2 linked regions of the Elephas maximus indicus genome follow. Each later gene encodes a partner of the first gene's protein in a complex. Links are inferred from orthologs where the notes say so. Each region holds a gene or a part of one and is shown on either strand. Other genes may lie near its edges.

Evidence for each region. Proteins that work in one complex are often made in the same cells at the same time.
Region 2: the proteins of AAGAB (region 1) and AP1S3 are in contact, whole or in part, in a crystal structure (PDB 9DDT), measured with the Homo sapiens proteins. The link is inferred for Elephas maximus indicus from reciprocal best matches to the Homo sapiens genes AAGAB and AP1S3. Residues at the interface, in NP_078942.3 of Homo sapiens: Asn51, Lys52, Tyr53, Tyr54, Glu108, Val109, Met110, Ile111, Gln128, Ile132, Gly135, Phe136, Glu137, Asp151, Phe153, Pro154, Glu155, Arg161, Gln164, Ala165, Asn167, Ala168, Asn169, Val170, Met176; in NP_001034658.1 of Homo sapiens: Arg10, Gln11, Lys13, Arg15, Gln37, Leu40, Ser41, Arg61, Tyr62, Ala63, Ser64, His85, Val88, Asp92, Phe95, Val98, Glu100, Leu101, Asp102, Ile104, Phe105, Asn106.

Annotation. Positions count from the first base shown.
Region 1 is NC_064831.1:57,335,337-57,342,697, reverse strand, and holds the start of AAGAB (alpha- and gamma-adaptin-binding protein p34), read left to right. Parts: upstream 1-4,426; 5' UTR 4,427-4,466; coding exon 4,467-4,728; intron 4,729-7,361. Other genes in the region: IQCH (IQ domain-containing protein H), read right to left, coding at 4,334-4,426. UniProt on the Homo sapiens protein: May be involved in endocytic recycling of growth factor receptors such as EGFR.
Region 2 is NC_064824.1:122,530,429-122,538,249, reverse strand, and holds the start of AP1S3 (AP-1 complex subunit sigma-3), read left to right. Parts: upstream 1-4,801; 5' UTR 4,802-4,921; coding exon 4,922-4,924; intron 4,925-7,821. UniProt on the Homo sapiens protein: Subunit of clathrin-associated adaptor protein complex 1 that plays a role in protein sorting in the late-Golgi/trans-Golgi network (TGN) and/or endosomes.

The sequences.
Region 1 (7,361 bases):
CTGATAAAATAATCTAAAGTTCTCAATACAGTGCCGGACTCTCAAGAAATGTTGGCTATTTTAACTATCCCAGAACCAGTGCTGTTGAGTCGATTTTAGTGATGATTATTATGGAAACGCTGGTGGCATAGTGGTTAAGAGTTTGGCTGCTAACCAGAAGGTTGGCAGTTCAAATCTACCAGGCGCTCCTTGGAAAGCCTATGGGGCGGTTCTACTCTGTCCTATATGGTCACTATGAGTTAGAATCGACTTGAGGGCAACAGGTTTGGTGTTTTTTATTTTTTATTATCACTATAGAAAAACCACACTATTCTGGTTAGTTGAGGAAAGATCCATATAAAATCATAAAAAGCCTGAATTATAGGCTTGGGAGACTTGAAAGTGATAAGATATTAAGTAGTTAACAAAATGCTGCCTAGTAGAACTCTATGTAGAAATGGAAATCATATTTCCTGAATTATAAATGAAAATATGTAGTACTTTGATACACGATCTGACAGTAGAACAGAATATGCACCATCAGAACTATCCCAGAAATCTAAACATACAAGGAATATATTTTCAAAATGAGTCACACAAAGAGTTTATTTGTACACAATTTGCAGACATTTTCTCAAAGTATTGCTTTCACTATTAATTTGTACCATCTAAATAAAAAAATATTTTTTTAATTAAAAAAAGGTTTTTCTAAATAATGGTAAATGTTAGTCCAATTCCATTCATTTTTGAGCAGAACAGAAATGACTGGAGACTGAATTAAGGAGCAGATCATTATCCAGTCATCTAGTGTCTATGGGCCCACTCCTGAGCTAGGGATAATCAGATATTCAAAACCCAGCTTGTAATAGGGAGACAAGGCATACCTTGTTGGCCAAATAGCAACACCCATACGTAGAGTTCCAATTAAGAATGGAGTAATTCTGGCTAAAAAGGCAAGTTAAAATAAATTCTTCCTCATCTTCTAGGGACTTAAGAGTAAAAAGCAGCCTAAACTTGAAAAGACACAGAAATGTACCTACACAAAACTAAATAATACAAAAGGGCAAGAGGTCAGATCTACTAATTACGCATATTTATGTGTTTAACATTTATGAATGTTATACTTTACAAGACTCCTATGAGGAAGTTAATATTATCTCCATTTTATACATGAGGGAATCTGAGGTTTAAAGAGGTTAAGTAACCCATGCAAGGTAACACAGCTGGTTAATTGGTGGAACTATTCAAATCGAGGCAGTCTGATTCCAGAGCCTTCATGCTTAACCATTATGCTATCTCTCAGAATAAAGATGTATTAATAAGCATCTGATGTACAAAGTTAAGGAGCCCTAGTGGGAGAACGGTTAGGCACTTGGCTGCTAACCAAAAGGTTGGTGATTTGAACCCACCAGCCTTGGAAGCTCTATGGGGCTTTTCTATTCTGTCATATAGGGTTGGTTTTAGTCAGATCTACTTGATGGCACACAACAACAACATACACAAAGTTAAACCCAAATCAAACCCACTGCCGTCGAGTCAACCACAGTGGGTTTCCAAGGCTATAAATCTCTATAGAAGCAGACTGTCACATCTTTCTCCTGTGGAGCCACTGGTGGTTTTGAACTACTGACCTTTCAGTTGGCAGTGAATTGCTTTAACCATTGCGCCAACAGGGCTCCTTTTTAAAGTCAAAGGCTGGTGAAAATGTAGTGGAAAAGGCAGGCTTTAGCTATTTAGAGGACTGAAAAGGGGCAAGTGAAGACTTTCTTTTTATGCCAAGAATGATGGATTTAAAAAGTTTGAGAAGAATGCTTGTATTTTTTATGCATACGGGGTGACCCACATTACTCACAAACGGCAGGATAGTGTAACGGAGCTTTCTGCCTAGGGTCAATCTCCACCATTTATTAGCTGTGTTACCTTGAACAAATAACAACTCTGGTCAGTTTCCTTTTCATAACATGGGAATGATAATAATAGTACATAGCTGACAAGGTTGTTGTAGGGGTTAAAGGAGTTAAAATACAGTATTTACAGCACTTAAAATACTGCATGATACACGGTTTAAGTACTTTGTTAGCTTTGATTACTGCAATTTTCCTTTGAAATTATATTACAGTTTATATTTTACAATGCCATCTAAAGTAGTGGTTCTCAAACTTGAGTGTGCATCAGAATTATCTGAAGAGCATGTACAGATTCCTGGGTCCCACTCCCAGAGTTCCTGATTCCACAGGTCTGGGGTGGGGCCTGAGAATCTGCATTTCCCACAAGTTCCTAGCTGGTGTGGATGATACTGGTGCTGGAACCACATCTGGAGAACCACTGGTCTAAAGAGTTATTTAACTGAAACACAGACCTAATAAACCATATTAGGGTGAAGCAAGTGGAGATTTAAAGTACCTGTGATTTACAATTATTTGTATATATAAAGAATGCTGGTGACACAATAGTTAAGTGCTTGGCTCCTAACCAAAAGTCGGTGGTTCAAACCCACCCAGTGGCTTCACAGGAAAAAAGACTTGGCAATCTGCTCCCATAACAATTACAGCCTAGGAAACCCTATGGGCCATTTTACTCTGTCATGTAGGGCCCTTATGAGTCGAAATTGACTTGATGGCATACAACAACTTGTATATATACATTTGCCAGAAACAATTTGACTGCCTAGGTTAATGGTAAAGGAAGCCCGTTTTATAGCTTTGGAGAAATTGGGTCAATTTAGAGTAAGAAATGAGTCTAATCCAAGCTATGTATCCTACAGAAAAGGAAATTGAGGCCTACCCAGCTGCGGAGTGCCAGAGCCAGGGGTCTAACCTTAGTACTCTGACTCCCAAACAAGCACACTTTCCACTAGAACTACTGCTTGTTGTCAGCCTGCTTGAAGGAAATCAATTACAGCTCCAGGTAGAAGTGTAATCTGCCCCTTCTGAGAGTGATGCGGTATGCTCACAAAAACTCAGGATTCCTTGGGAGGGTAGGGGAAAGTCTTCCAATATTTTCTCATTATACACATTCTATGTATTACCAGAAAGAATTCTACACTGTATGCAGAGATCAGCCTCAATTAATCAGGCTAACACATAGGCTCTCTTTCTTTACATGGGCCTTCACTTTCCAAGTCCTGAGTAACCTTTTTACGTAAGTGGGGGCACTGAGCCACATGGACGTGACTATTCTTACTTAGCTCCTCTGTTGCATTTTACAATTCAGTGTCAACAGACATTGATTACTGTAATGTATCCTGGGCTGACCAAACAGCTCCCTCTGGATTCCATTCTGAAGTGAAAAGGCTTCTGGCTTTTCAGCTAGAGCACTCTTGTACACAATACCAAACCACAAGGGGAGCAGCCCTGGGAAATACAATTATCTCAAGGGAAGCTGTGAAACTGGCCTGCAGAAGGTCTGGAAGATTCTCCCCCAGATTCTTGTCTCTTTTTTAGAGATGTTCTAGGCCTGGAGGAATAGAGGAAACTAAAGAGAAAGTTAATTGTTCCTGTAGTCAACATGAAGTATACTTCATGGGGAAGAACTGGCTGTTTCTGGACAAGAGTTTCCATTAGTGTTTCAACTGTTTGGAGTCTGTAAAAATGGGGACCGGGTTTATAGGGGATGTTGGGTGAAAGAGAGGATGATAAGAGTGAGGTAAGAGAATTTGGGCATGATTCACAATCGGGAAGTCTATGAAATGGTTGAGTCCCAAGGCTCGTACTTTGGAAAAGGTGAATTTAGGAAAGTTTCTCCCAGATGGGAGGTAAGAGACCAAAATCCTGCCTGGAAGAACAAGTAAACCCGTTGAAGATCTGAGAATCCTGATAGAATGATCGTAGGCAAATCACTTCAAGCCTTATTCAAATGGAGCTAAATCTAAGAGTTAAAAATCGTTATGCATGTGGATGCATTTTAGAACTGGGATAGGTAAATGTGAAAAACGAACAAACAAACAATAAAATGCCTTAACCATTTCAGAAAATTCTGAAATTTGACGTCATGGCTTCAAATTTTTCAGAACATAATACTTGTAAACGGTGTCTCAGTGCAAGATGGATTTTTTTTTTTGCTGTAAACGTTCCGGGTGAGGTGATCTACAGTGTACGGCCTTGGGGTTTTACCAGGAGCAGAGTTTGTGGAACGCGACCTCCAGTGTATGGCACGGGGCTGAGGGGTGGTGCTGGGCTCCTGGACGAGGTCTGGGTGGGCATATTTGGGAGTTCTCTCAGGGGCTGAGGCCCTCGAGGACTGAAGGCAGTCTGGGAGCGGCGCCCCAAACGAGTGGACGCGCGCGAAGCGGCGCTGCTGGGCCTCGCTCCCAGGTGTCTTAGCTGGGCGGGGCCGGGAGAGGCCCATTTCCCACCTGGATTAAGATGGATCCAATGGGGTCGTAGTTTTCAGTCTCCTGAGCCATGGTCAGGGCCGGGGAGAGTAACCTCCCCCCCGGAGGCGCCATCTCCAGGCGCTGAAACCTTCGGCCAGGGGCGTGTGTCCCCATGGCAACGCTATGCGCGGCCCGGCCTATTCTACCGCGGGAGCGGAAGAGGGGAGCGAGGAAGGAGCCGGGGCGGCCTATCCGTTCCGAGATGGCGCCCTTCCTTGAGTGTCTCCCCCGCACGGCGGCGGCTGTGGTACAGCCCAAGGCGGAAGCGGCTCCTGGACGGAACCGGCTCCAGAGCGCAGCCATGGCCGCGGGCGTCCCCTGTGCGCTGGTCACCAGCTGCTCCTCCACCTTTACCGGGGACCGTCTGGTCCAACGTGAGTAGCGAGGCGGCTGGGCCGGCCTTCAACCCCTCAAGCCTCGGTGGGCAACAGGACCAGGGCCTCAACCTGGACCTTGTCGCCGCCGCAGGTCCTCGGCGGTGGCCTGAGGCTCTCCAGGTTCTTCTCAGTTTCTGTCGAGGTCCCTACCCACGCCCCCAGGTGTCAACCCTGTAACTCTTAAACTCATTGCTTTTCTGCCTGCCCGGTGCACTACTGCGTTACTTCCAGCATCTGTAAAGTGGGACTGATCCCTGCCCAGCCCACCTCACGGGCTGTTGGGAGGATTCAGTGAGATGAAGACCATAAAAGACGCTCTGGAAACTGTATTGAGCTACACGAGTATAAGGTGCAGAGACTGTTGATACAGTTGTGGCTTTTATTGCTGTCCCGGCTCCTGAGGTAGGGAGTATGTTTCCTCTGACTTTCGTGTGTGTTCAATTACTAGGTTAACCCTTGATGTATGCAAGACTTGTTCTTGTACTCTTTACTATGTGGTTAGTCCCTGCTTTGCCTTCTGAGGTTCTCCACCAATATTAGTTTTAGAGTATTTCTGAGCCTAGTCCCTTCGCCTCTGGACCCTCATATTGGTTGTCAGATTAAGTAAGTCTTAAACCCTAAGTGAAGAGACCATTGTGTTGGAGAGAGCACAGCACGGATCATAGGCTCAACTCTGCCGCTGAAGGGCCCTGTGAAGTTGGCTGTAACTCAAGACACCTTTTTCACATCCATGGCGTGGTGTCAGAGCACTGACTCTTAGCTGTATGATTGTGGGTAGGTCACTTAACCTCTGCCTTTCAGTCTTCTCATCTATAAAATGGGCACAATTAATCCATCATTTACAAGATTGTTGGGCTTCATTTAGACCTGGGTTCAATTTCCTGCCGCTTCACCTCCAGTGCAGCCACTGCCCATCTGTCCTGGAGGTTTAACGGGTTCCTGTGATGCTGAATAGGTTTCAGCGGAGCTTTCAGACTGAGACAGACTAGGAAGAAAGGCTTGGCAACCTACTTCCAAAAAATCAGCCAATGAAAGCCCCGTGAATCATAGCGGCCTGACCCCATTGTGCATGGGGAATTGATGGCATTTTTAACAACAGCAGTGTTGTTATTAAAGCATATTATCTCAGTGACCCTCAGTTTTCTAAACTTTAAAATGTACTTATTTAGCAGGGTTATCTGAAAGAAAGGTGAGGTGACATTTGGGAAAGCACTTTGTAAGCTGTATAAAGCATCCTACAATTTTATTTTTTTTTTACACCTACCAAATGTTAGAATCAGGCAGATGTCCCTCCAGCACAGATTTTCTATGACTTAGTTATCGTTTGTGATCACTTAGAATGTTCCTTGCTAGGGTAAAATTTTAATTATAGCACTTATTAAATGGCAACTAACTGCCATTTCCTTACCTCTTAGAAGTGCTCCTTCCCATTGTTTTTTTTTTAACGTAATGTTTCTTTGTAAAAGTAGTGGATTCTCATTAAGTACAATTTAGCATATGGAGAAAAGAAAATGTCATAGTCTCATCACCCAAACACAAACACTGCTAACATTTCAGTGCATTTCCTTCCAGTTTTTCTTCTAATGCATACTTGTTTTTAAATAATTCAAATTATATTTCATATGTAATTTTTATGCTGACTTTTTCACTTCATAAAATTAATTTCCATCACAAATTACATCTAGCAAACATGTCATACTTTGTTCAAGATTCTTAAGCCTCTTGGTATATTTAAATTTCCAAAAAATGTATATCCGTTTTAATTCTCATCACTGAACTATGAAAGTCCTTACGGCCAGCCTCAGAAACCTGTGCTAAGTATTCTGATGGCCATGGTGCTGTATATATCGTATGCTTTAAGGAGCAAAAATTTTTATTTCTTTTTGCTACTCATAGGCCTGGGACTCAGAGGCCTTATTTGCAGTATTCTAGGTGGATGTCTGCCATTATATAAAAGGGGCATTACTGATTTCCGTTGTAGGCTTTTAAAGGGAAATGAAGGCTCAGGAGCCTGAGGGACTTTTAGAAGGCTATCTATAACATGAGAGTAAGTCTCAGGGCCAGAACGCTTTCCACCTCACATATGATTTTAACTTTTATTCTGGAAATATTTATTAAGCACAGAGCTAGTCTCTTTGCCAGTTACTGCCGCTACAGTGTTGGCTAAGATACTATCCCTGTCCTCGAGAAGGATGTAGTGAAAACAGGTGTATGCTCCACTTGTGAAGATACTGAAACGTAGATACTTAAGTTTTAACATCTTACTCTGGTTCCCTAGAAGGAACTTTAGATGGAAAAGTTCCTGGAGACTTGTTCAGATTTAAAGTATATAATGCCAACTCAGCAACCATAAGCCATTCGGTTTCTACTGCTAAACATTTGGAGCAAAATTTGTTCTTTTAGTGAAATGTGGGAATTTGAAGATGTTATAATCATAGCAGGCATTTATATGCATATCCTTTTTTTTTTTTTTTTTTTACTGTTCTCAAGCATGTTTTTACATCATTTAATTTGGTACTTGTATCCCTATGAGGGGAGCCCTGGTGGTGCAGTGGTTAAGAGCTCTGCTGCTGACCAAAAGATCGACAGTTTGAATCTACCAGCTGTTCCTTGGAAACCCCGTGGGGCAG
Region 2 (7,821 bases), on another chromosome or scaffold:
CTTCTTGCTTGGTGGTAATGAGGTCCCTCTCCTCTCTGCTCACTTCTCTTTTTTGTATCTTAAAAGAGATTGACTCAAGGTACAACCTAACCCTTTAGATTGAGTCCTGACTCATTAAGATAACTGCCTCTAATCCCACCTCATTAACATCATAGAGGTTAGAATTTACAACACAAGGGAAAATTAAATCAGATCACAGAATGAAGGACGACCACATAATACGGGCAATCGTGGCCTGGCCAAGTTGACACACATTTTTAGGGGACACAATTCAATCCATAACAGATGGGAATGGGGAAGTCGATACATAAAGATGCAAGTTATTCCACTGAGACAAATATACCCACTTTCGTGTCCTGAGTGGGTCTGCCAGGTATGGGGCTTCAGGAAGGATCAGTTTGAGCCTTGGTGTTTTGCAACCTCTATATCTCCAACTCACATCTGTATAATGGGGATAAAAAATGACACGACAGTTGCTGTTGCGTCGATTCCAGTTCTCATGGCAGGCTCATGTGTGTCACAGTAGACCTGTGCTCCATGGGATTTTCAACAGCTGATATTTGGAAAGTAAATCTCCAGGGCTTTCTTCTGACGCACCTCTGGGTGGACCTGAACCACCAATCTTCTAGTTAGCAGTGAGGGTATTAACTGTTTGCCGCACCCAGATAAAGTGGGCAAACAGATTGTCTTGAGGTCCAGATAAAATAACCTATGTGAAGTATCCAGCCCATTGTAGGCCTCCTTGTTTTGGGTCAGGCAATTTCAAGGTGAGGTGTGAGCAGCTGGAGGGAAGAACATGGAGGTAAGACGCCCCAAGAGCTTCTCTGACCATCTCAGTAAGGCCAGGGGGAAAGCAAAGAATGCTAATAGATTTTAAGTAAACCTTCTCCTCTTCTCCACTAAAACCCTCCCATCAGGGGCCACACAGTGAGGGAACTTTCTCACGCTTTAATCCTCTTCTTAACCATCATGGTAAGAGCATTGAGATTTCTTTAGAGTTGAAACTCACCTTTAGTAATCCTCTGTCTCTTTCTCACCACGATTAGTAATAAAACCCTCAAAGCACAAAGTTGTGGTGCTTTTCAGAAGATCAGCAAGGTGGGTGGGACAAGGCTGGGCCCTGGTCTGAGGGAGCGGAGGCACTAAGTTAGGAAAACCCACCCGGGGGAGAATTCTGGAGTTCAGAAAGCCACTCTCCTATATTCACAATAATCTGTGGATCATCTTTCAGTAGGTGAAATCACCTCTCAGCCTGGGGCTTAACTGTCAGGTATTCTTTTTCCAACTCCCTCAGCGGATGCCACACCTCCAGGGGTGAAAGCTAAAAGGATTAAAATCGAGGACACGTGGAGGCAGTTGGGCTTTTGCAGAACTTTGAGGTTGAAAGATTTCACTTTCTTGGGGGCTTTTAGTGTACCTGCCAGCTTAACACAGGTGAGCCCCATTGCTTCTGGCTCCTGCCCTTCTCCTCACACACAACTCCAGCCACAGAGGCCTTCTTTGGGGTCCTTGGAGAAGGAACACTCTCCTTTTATGCTTCAGAGCACTGGTTTCTCACCTTAGGTGTCAAGTCGCCTCCTTAGGGAGCAACCTTCCCTGACCACCCAGCTACATATATGGAGCTTTCCGGTGTCTATTCCAGCAAGCTATGCTTCTTGGTACTCAATGGTACTTTGTAATTACTTATTTACTTGTTTATTAGTTATTGTCCCACAAAATACTATAAGCTCCAGGAGTAGGGCTGTTCCCAGATGTCTCCCCAACGTGCCTCCTGTAGTGCCTGGCACAGAGTTGCTGCTGTTGTGCCCGTCAAGTTTATTCAGACTCATAGTGACCCCACAGGACAGAGTAGAACTGCCCCATAGTGTGTCCAAGGCTGTAATCTTTATGGAAGCAGATTGCCTCATCTTTCTCGTGCTGAGTGGCTAGTGGGTTCAAACCTCTGACCTTTTGGTTAGCAGCTGGGTGTGTAAACCCTTTGCTACCACGGCTCCTCTTCTGACTCATAGAGACCCTATAGGACAGGGTAGAACTGCCCGTAGGGGTTCCTAGGATGAAATCTTGACCGGAGCAGATGGCCAGGATTTTCTGCCATGGAGCCGCTGGTGGTTTCAGACTGATCTTTGGGTTGCCAGCCAAGCATTTAACCATTGTGACACCAGGGCTCCTTTGGCACAGAGTAAGGGCTGATAAATATTTGTGGAACAGATGTGGGGTGGATCCACAGTCACCTGAGCTAGCCCGCAGTGCAGGTTAAGGAGCTTCAACAGACCCTTTGGGCAGGACTTTACAGATATTGGCCTCCAGGGACCAACCAGGCAGGGACTACCCAGCCTAACATTTTTAGGGTGGCGGATCTCTTCTGGTATTCGATAAAACTGACAGACTCTCTTGCCCCAAACAACATAACATTACTCCAAAACTCTGTTTACAGCTTGGGAGTTCGGAGACTCCTAGAGCCCCAGGTAAAAACCCCATGACTTAAGAAAAATCTAGAGGACAAGCAGAAGAGTTGCAGAAGCAAGCCTCCATTCCAAAACATCTTAGGTGGGACCTCTTAAAGTGTTGTTGTTGTTGTTAGGTGCCGTTGTGTCAGTTCCGACTCACAGCGACTCTACGTACCACAGAACCAAACACTGCCTGGTTCTGCACCATGCCCACAGTCGTTGCTAAGCCTGAGCCCATTGTTGCAGCCACTGTGTCAATCCATCTCGTTGAGGGTCTTCCTCTTTTCCCCTGACTCTCTACTTTACCAAGCATGATGTCCTTCTCCTGGGACTGATCCCTCTGGACAACATGTCCAAAGTATGTAAGATGCAGCCTCGCCATTCTTGCATCTAAGGAGCATTCTGGTTGTACTTCTTCCAAGACAGATTTGTTCGTTCTTTTGGCAGTCCACTGTATATTCAATATTCTTCGCCAGCACAATTCAAAGGTGTCAATTCTTCTTTGGTCTTCCTTACTCATCGCCCAGCTTTTGCGTGCATATGATGCGATTGAAGATACCATGGCTTGGGTCAGGTGCACCTTAGTCTTTAAGGTGACAGCTTTGCTTTTCAACACTTTAAAGAGGTCCTTTGCAGATTCACCCAATGCAGTGCGTCTTTTGATTTCTTGACTGCTGCTTCCCTGGGTGTTGATTGTGGATCCAAGTAAAACGAAATCCTTGACAACCTCAATCTTTTCTTTGTTTATCATGATGTTGCTAGTTGTGTCCAGTTGTGAGGATTTTCATTTTCTTTATGCTGAGGTGTAATCCATACTGAAGACTGTGGTTTTGATCTTCATCAGTAAATGCTTCAAGTCCTCTTCACTTTCAGCAAGTAAGGCTGTGTTATTTGCATAATGCAGGTTGTTAATGAGTCTTCTTCCAATTCTGATTCTCCATTCTTCTTCATATAGTCCAGCTTCTCGGATTATTTGCGCAGTATACAGGTTGAATAGGTATGGTGAAAGGATACAACCCTGACACACACCTTTCCTGAGTTTAAACCACTCAATATACTCTTATTCTGTTCAAACAACTGCCTCCTGATCTATGTAAAGATTCCTCATGAGCACAATTAAATGTTCTGGAATTCCCGTTCTTCTCAATCTTATTCATAATTTCTATATCGAAACCCTGGTGATGTAGTGTTTTTGTTTAAGAGCTATGTCTGCTAACCAAAAGGTCAGCAGTTTGAATCCACCAGGTGCTCCTTGGAAGCTCTATGGGGCAGTTCTTGAAATGGGCCCTGTTTAAAATGACCTATGTCCTTGGATTGCAAATTTTATTAAAAAGAAAAGAAAAAAAAAAGATGAAATGAGGGTGGGGTAGAAATTGTTTCTAGTTCACTCTGACAGTTGCTCCCTCCCTCCCTCCTTCCCTCTGCTTTTTTTTTTTTCTTTTTTTTTTTTAGTGTTAGGCAGCCTCTGATACTTTCTTAAGAGTAAGAGAAATGTCTTGGTAAATCTTTGTGGAATGAATGAATGACACTCGCGGTGTAGAATGAGAAAAGCAGCCGCCTAGGGCGCTTCCCCTTAGGGGCTTCCTAGTTCTCTCGCTTGTCTGGGCCTCCAGAGTGGCTGCAGAGGAGGCCTGGCTGCAGAAGCAGGGAACAGGTGCATCCTCACCTGCTGCAGCCGGTGCAGGGCTGGGCAGAGAGAGCTGGGGGGGGAGAGGGGGGAGGGGGAGAGGTGGGGGGTGAGGACGGAGAAGGGAGGAGGACGGGAAGAGGAGGACTCTGGCAGGCGGGAGAGGAGGAAGAGGCAGGGAGGAGGGAAAGGGGAGGTGGGAGGGAGGCCAGGAAAAAAAGAAGGGACCGAGGAGTTCTACAGAGGCTTTTGACAGGGACAGATTACCCACTAAAACAAGGTAAGCATGGGATAATTAGTGCTTACTTACTAATCTGTAGTGACCGATTTCACATGGGTTTCACCACACCTTTGTATTTATTTTCTAATTTGTAGTGAATTTCACATAGGTTTCATCACATCAAAGATGAAACCGGCGGTGAAATCGGTCACTCCCAGTACCCCGTGCCGTCGAGTCGATTCCGACTCACAGCGACCCTATAGGACACTACCCAGGACACTACCGATTAGTAAATAAGCACAGGCAGACCCGTGCTTACCTTGCTCCCTGGGTAATTCGCCAGGGGGAGAGAGGGAGGAGGCAGGAGAAGAGAGAGAGGAGGGGGAGAAGGGAAAAGAAGAAGCGGGGAGGAAGAGGAAGGGAGGAGGGGGGAGGAAGAGAAATGGGAGGGGCGGGAGGGCGGGAGCCGCGGGGAGGAGCCGGCGAACTTTCCGTCCGAGGGCATTGTGGGAAGCGGCCATGGTCTGAGGCCGGCGCTCACCTGCCTGCCGCGCCGCCTCCCGCGCTCCGCTTTCGCGCTCGCGTCCCAGCGCTCGCCGCTCGCCGGGTGGGCGCGGCCCGGCCACCATGGTGAGTGCGGCGAGCGGGCTGGCGGGCAGCTGCAGCCCGGGCCGGGGAGTGGGCGCCCACGGGAGGCACCTGCGGCGCGCGGCGGGGTGGGGCGCGGAGGGCGCCCCGCCCCGGCTCGGCACCCCGGGACGCGCGCACCCCCTAAGGTGCCGGCGCGCGGGAGCACGAGGGGCGCCTGCCCGGGTCCCGGGGACACCCGGCGCCGCGGCTTCATTCATTCAGTCAGTGGTCGCTGAGCGCACAGTCTGTGCCAGGCAGTTTCAGGCGCTGGGATGTTGCGGTGGCCCCGGTGGAACCCTTGCTGCCCTGGACCTTACACCTTAGGAGGAAGGTGTGGAGGGAGGGAGACCTGTAAACATGAAAGTGAAATAAAGATAACTTTCGAAAGTTAAGAGTGCCCTGAAGTCTCAGATACCTCGGGGTGATGGGATGGAGGAGTAGAGAGGCAACTCTTAGAGATTGGAAATTCAGGAAGGGCTTCTTTGAGGAGGTGACATTTGAGCTGTCGGAGGGAAGTCGGAGAGGGGTGCTGCAGGTCGAGGGAAGGGCTAGCCTGAGAGAGAGGAGCATGCAGGGGCAGAGGTAGGCAGGGACCGGATTATGAAGGACCTCCTCAGTGTGGATAAACAATTGGGTTTTATTCCAACTGGGTGGGGAGCCTTGGGAGGATTTTAGCCTGAGAACTGACCTTATTTGTTCTATACCCTAAAAAGATCCCTTTGGTTGCTGGTGAGGTGTGTTGTGTGGGGGGTGGTGGGAATCAAGGTGGAAGCTGGAAGAATGGTCCCACTTCCCTCAGGTGAGCTCACTTCCTAAATGCCAGGAACAGAAGTGACTTGCACTCTGTGGCCCACAACATGCAGAGGCAGGTGGACCATATGAGTTATGAGTGGATGGGCAGGGAAAATGGTGACGTGCTGGACACCTGGACAAGAAGACCACAGGAGGTGGCTTCTAGGTGAGCCTTGGCTAGGCACCACTGTTTGCTGAGGGTTCCTTGTAAATGCAGCATGAGGCAAAAAGGAGGCTGTAAATAATGGAGCAGCTCTCTTGGCTTGCTCACGTTTCCCAGGGAACAAGATGATGGTGTGCCCAGGTGTGCCCAGCTCTCCAGTGTCATTTGCAGAGTGGAAGGTGGAAAAAGGCCATGAGTTTCTGAGTTGGCAGAAGGCTGCTTTCATTCTGTGGGCACCAAGCTTGAAACAGCAGCTGGTGTGGAGTCTTTTTTTTCTCACTGGTGTCATGAATCAGTTGATCAGAAATGTGCGAAGTTTCTTTTGCTTTTCCGTTCGGCCTAGCTGAACGGGAGGTTTTAATGTTATCGAGCGCTTGTGGTAAATCAAAAGGATGCTCAGCTCTTTCATGTTCATTACTTCATTCAACCCTTGCAACATCTAGATGAGGTCGGGTATTGTTCTCCCTGCGTTTTGCCTGCACTGACCTGTTCTAGCAGGATGACCTTGGACAGTTCCTGGAACTGTCCATACCTCAGTTTGCCCATTTGTAAAATGGAGATGAGAATTGTTCCTGACTCGTAAGGCAGCGGTTCTCAAAGTGTGGGCTGGGGACTCCTAGGAATCCTTGAGACCATTCAGGAAGTCCCCAATATTAAAACTATTTTCATAGTAGTGCCAAGACGTTATTGCCTCTTTGACTTTTATTTTCACCTCAGTGTACTGAGTGCACTGAGTTTTCATGAGGCCGGGAGACCTGGGATAGCACAACAGATTGAATGCAGAAGCCAATAGGACAATCCGTCTTCTACCTAGCCAGACATTGAAGAGATATGCAACAATGTCAGTGCCCTGCTTGTCGCTATTATTTTGTGTGTGTGTGTTTGCTTTGGAAACGTAGTGTTCATAAAAATGTTATTTATGTTCATGTGTAGTAGATTATTTAGAAATAGTGCATATTTTTTAAATTTTGTCCATTTTAATTTTTAGTACACTAAATATCAATGACTATAACCCACATAAACAAAAGGACTTTGGTGTCCTCAGTTTTGAAGAGTGTAAAGGAGTCCAGAGGAGCCCTGGTGGTGCAATGGTCAAAGCTCTCAGCTGCTAACCAAAAAGTCTGTGGTTCAAACCCACCAGCTGCTCTGTGGGAGAAAGATGTGGTAGTCTGCTTCTGTAAAGATTATTGTCTTGGAAACCCTATGGGGCAGTTCTACCTTGCCCTATAGAGGCACCCTGAGCTGGAATTGACTAGATGGCACACAACAACACAGGAGCCCAGAATGTTTGAGAATCACTGTTATGGAGTTCTAACAGGTTGTGTGAGCTAATACATGTGAGAGTGCTTAGAGCAGCTTTGCCTCTTTTAAGTGCCCAGTTTTACCACCTGTCCTCTTTATTTCTGTCATGGGGTAGAAGGAATATGAGGCCTACCTGCTTGCCCGGCAACTCAAGGATCTTTGGTGAGGGCTGGTTAGTGACTCCCCGTCTTTTCTTCGCTGTGTTCCTGACTCTTGCCAACTCTTACCCTAGAAAACTGGAAACATGGGTACGACGTTTCACATGGTGCTCTGCATACAGGGTGGAGTTCGTGATTTCCTTGTGTCCCTGATCCAGGTGTCTAGCCCGATTTCATACCTGGTATATCTCGGGGCAGTGCTTGTATCTGCATGGTAGTTTGAATGAGCTGTGTACGTCTCCGTCCTGCCTTTGTTTTAGAAATCTCTGTCTTGGAAAGCAACTCTTCGGGTTGTTGTGCTTCAGGGATGCCCACTGCTCTGAGCCCAGTGTGCTTAAATGCTTACTGGAAGAATTTACTATTAAGTGGTTGACAATGTTGATGGAAGATGGAGGGTGGGCTTCCTCCCCCCTCCCCAGAAGATACCTCTGAGGACTTACAGGATGAATTTTGAAAGGCTTTGGGGACACTTACAATAAAAA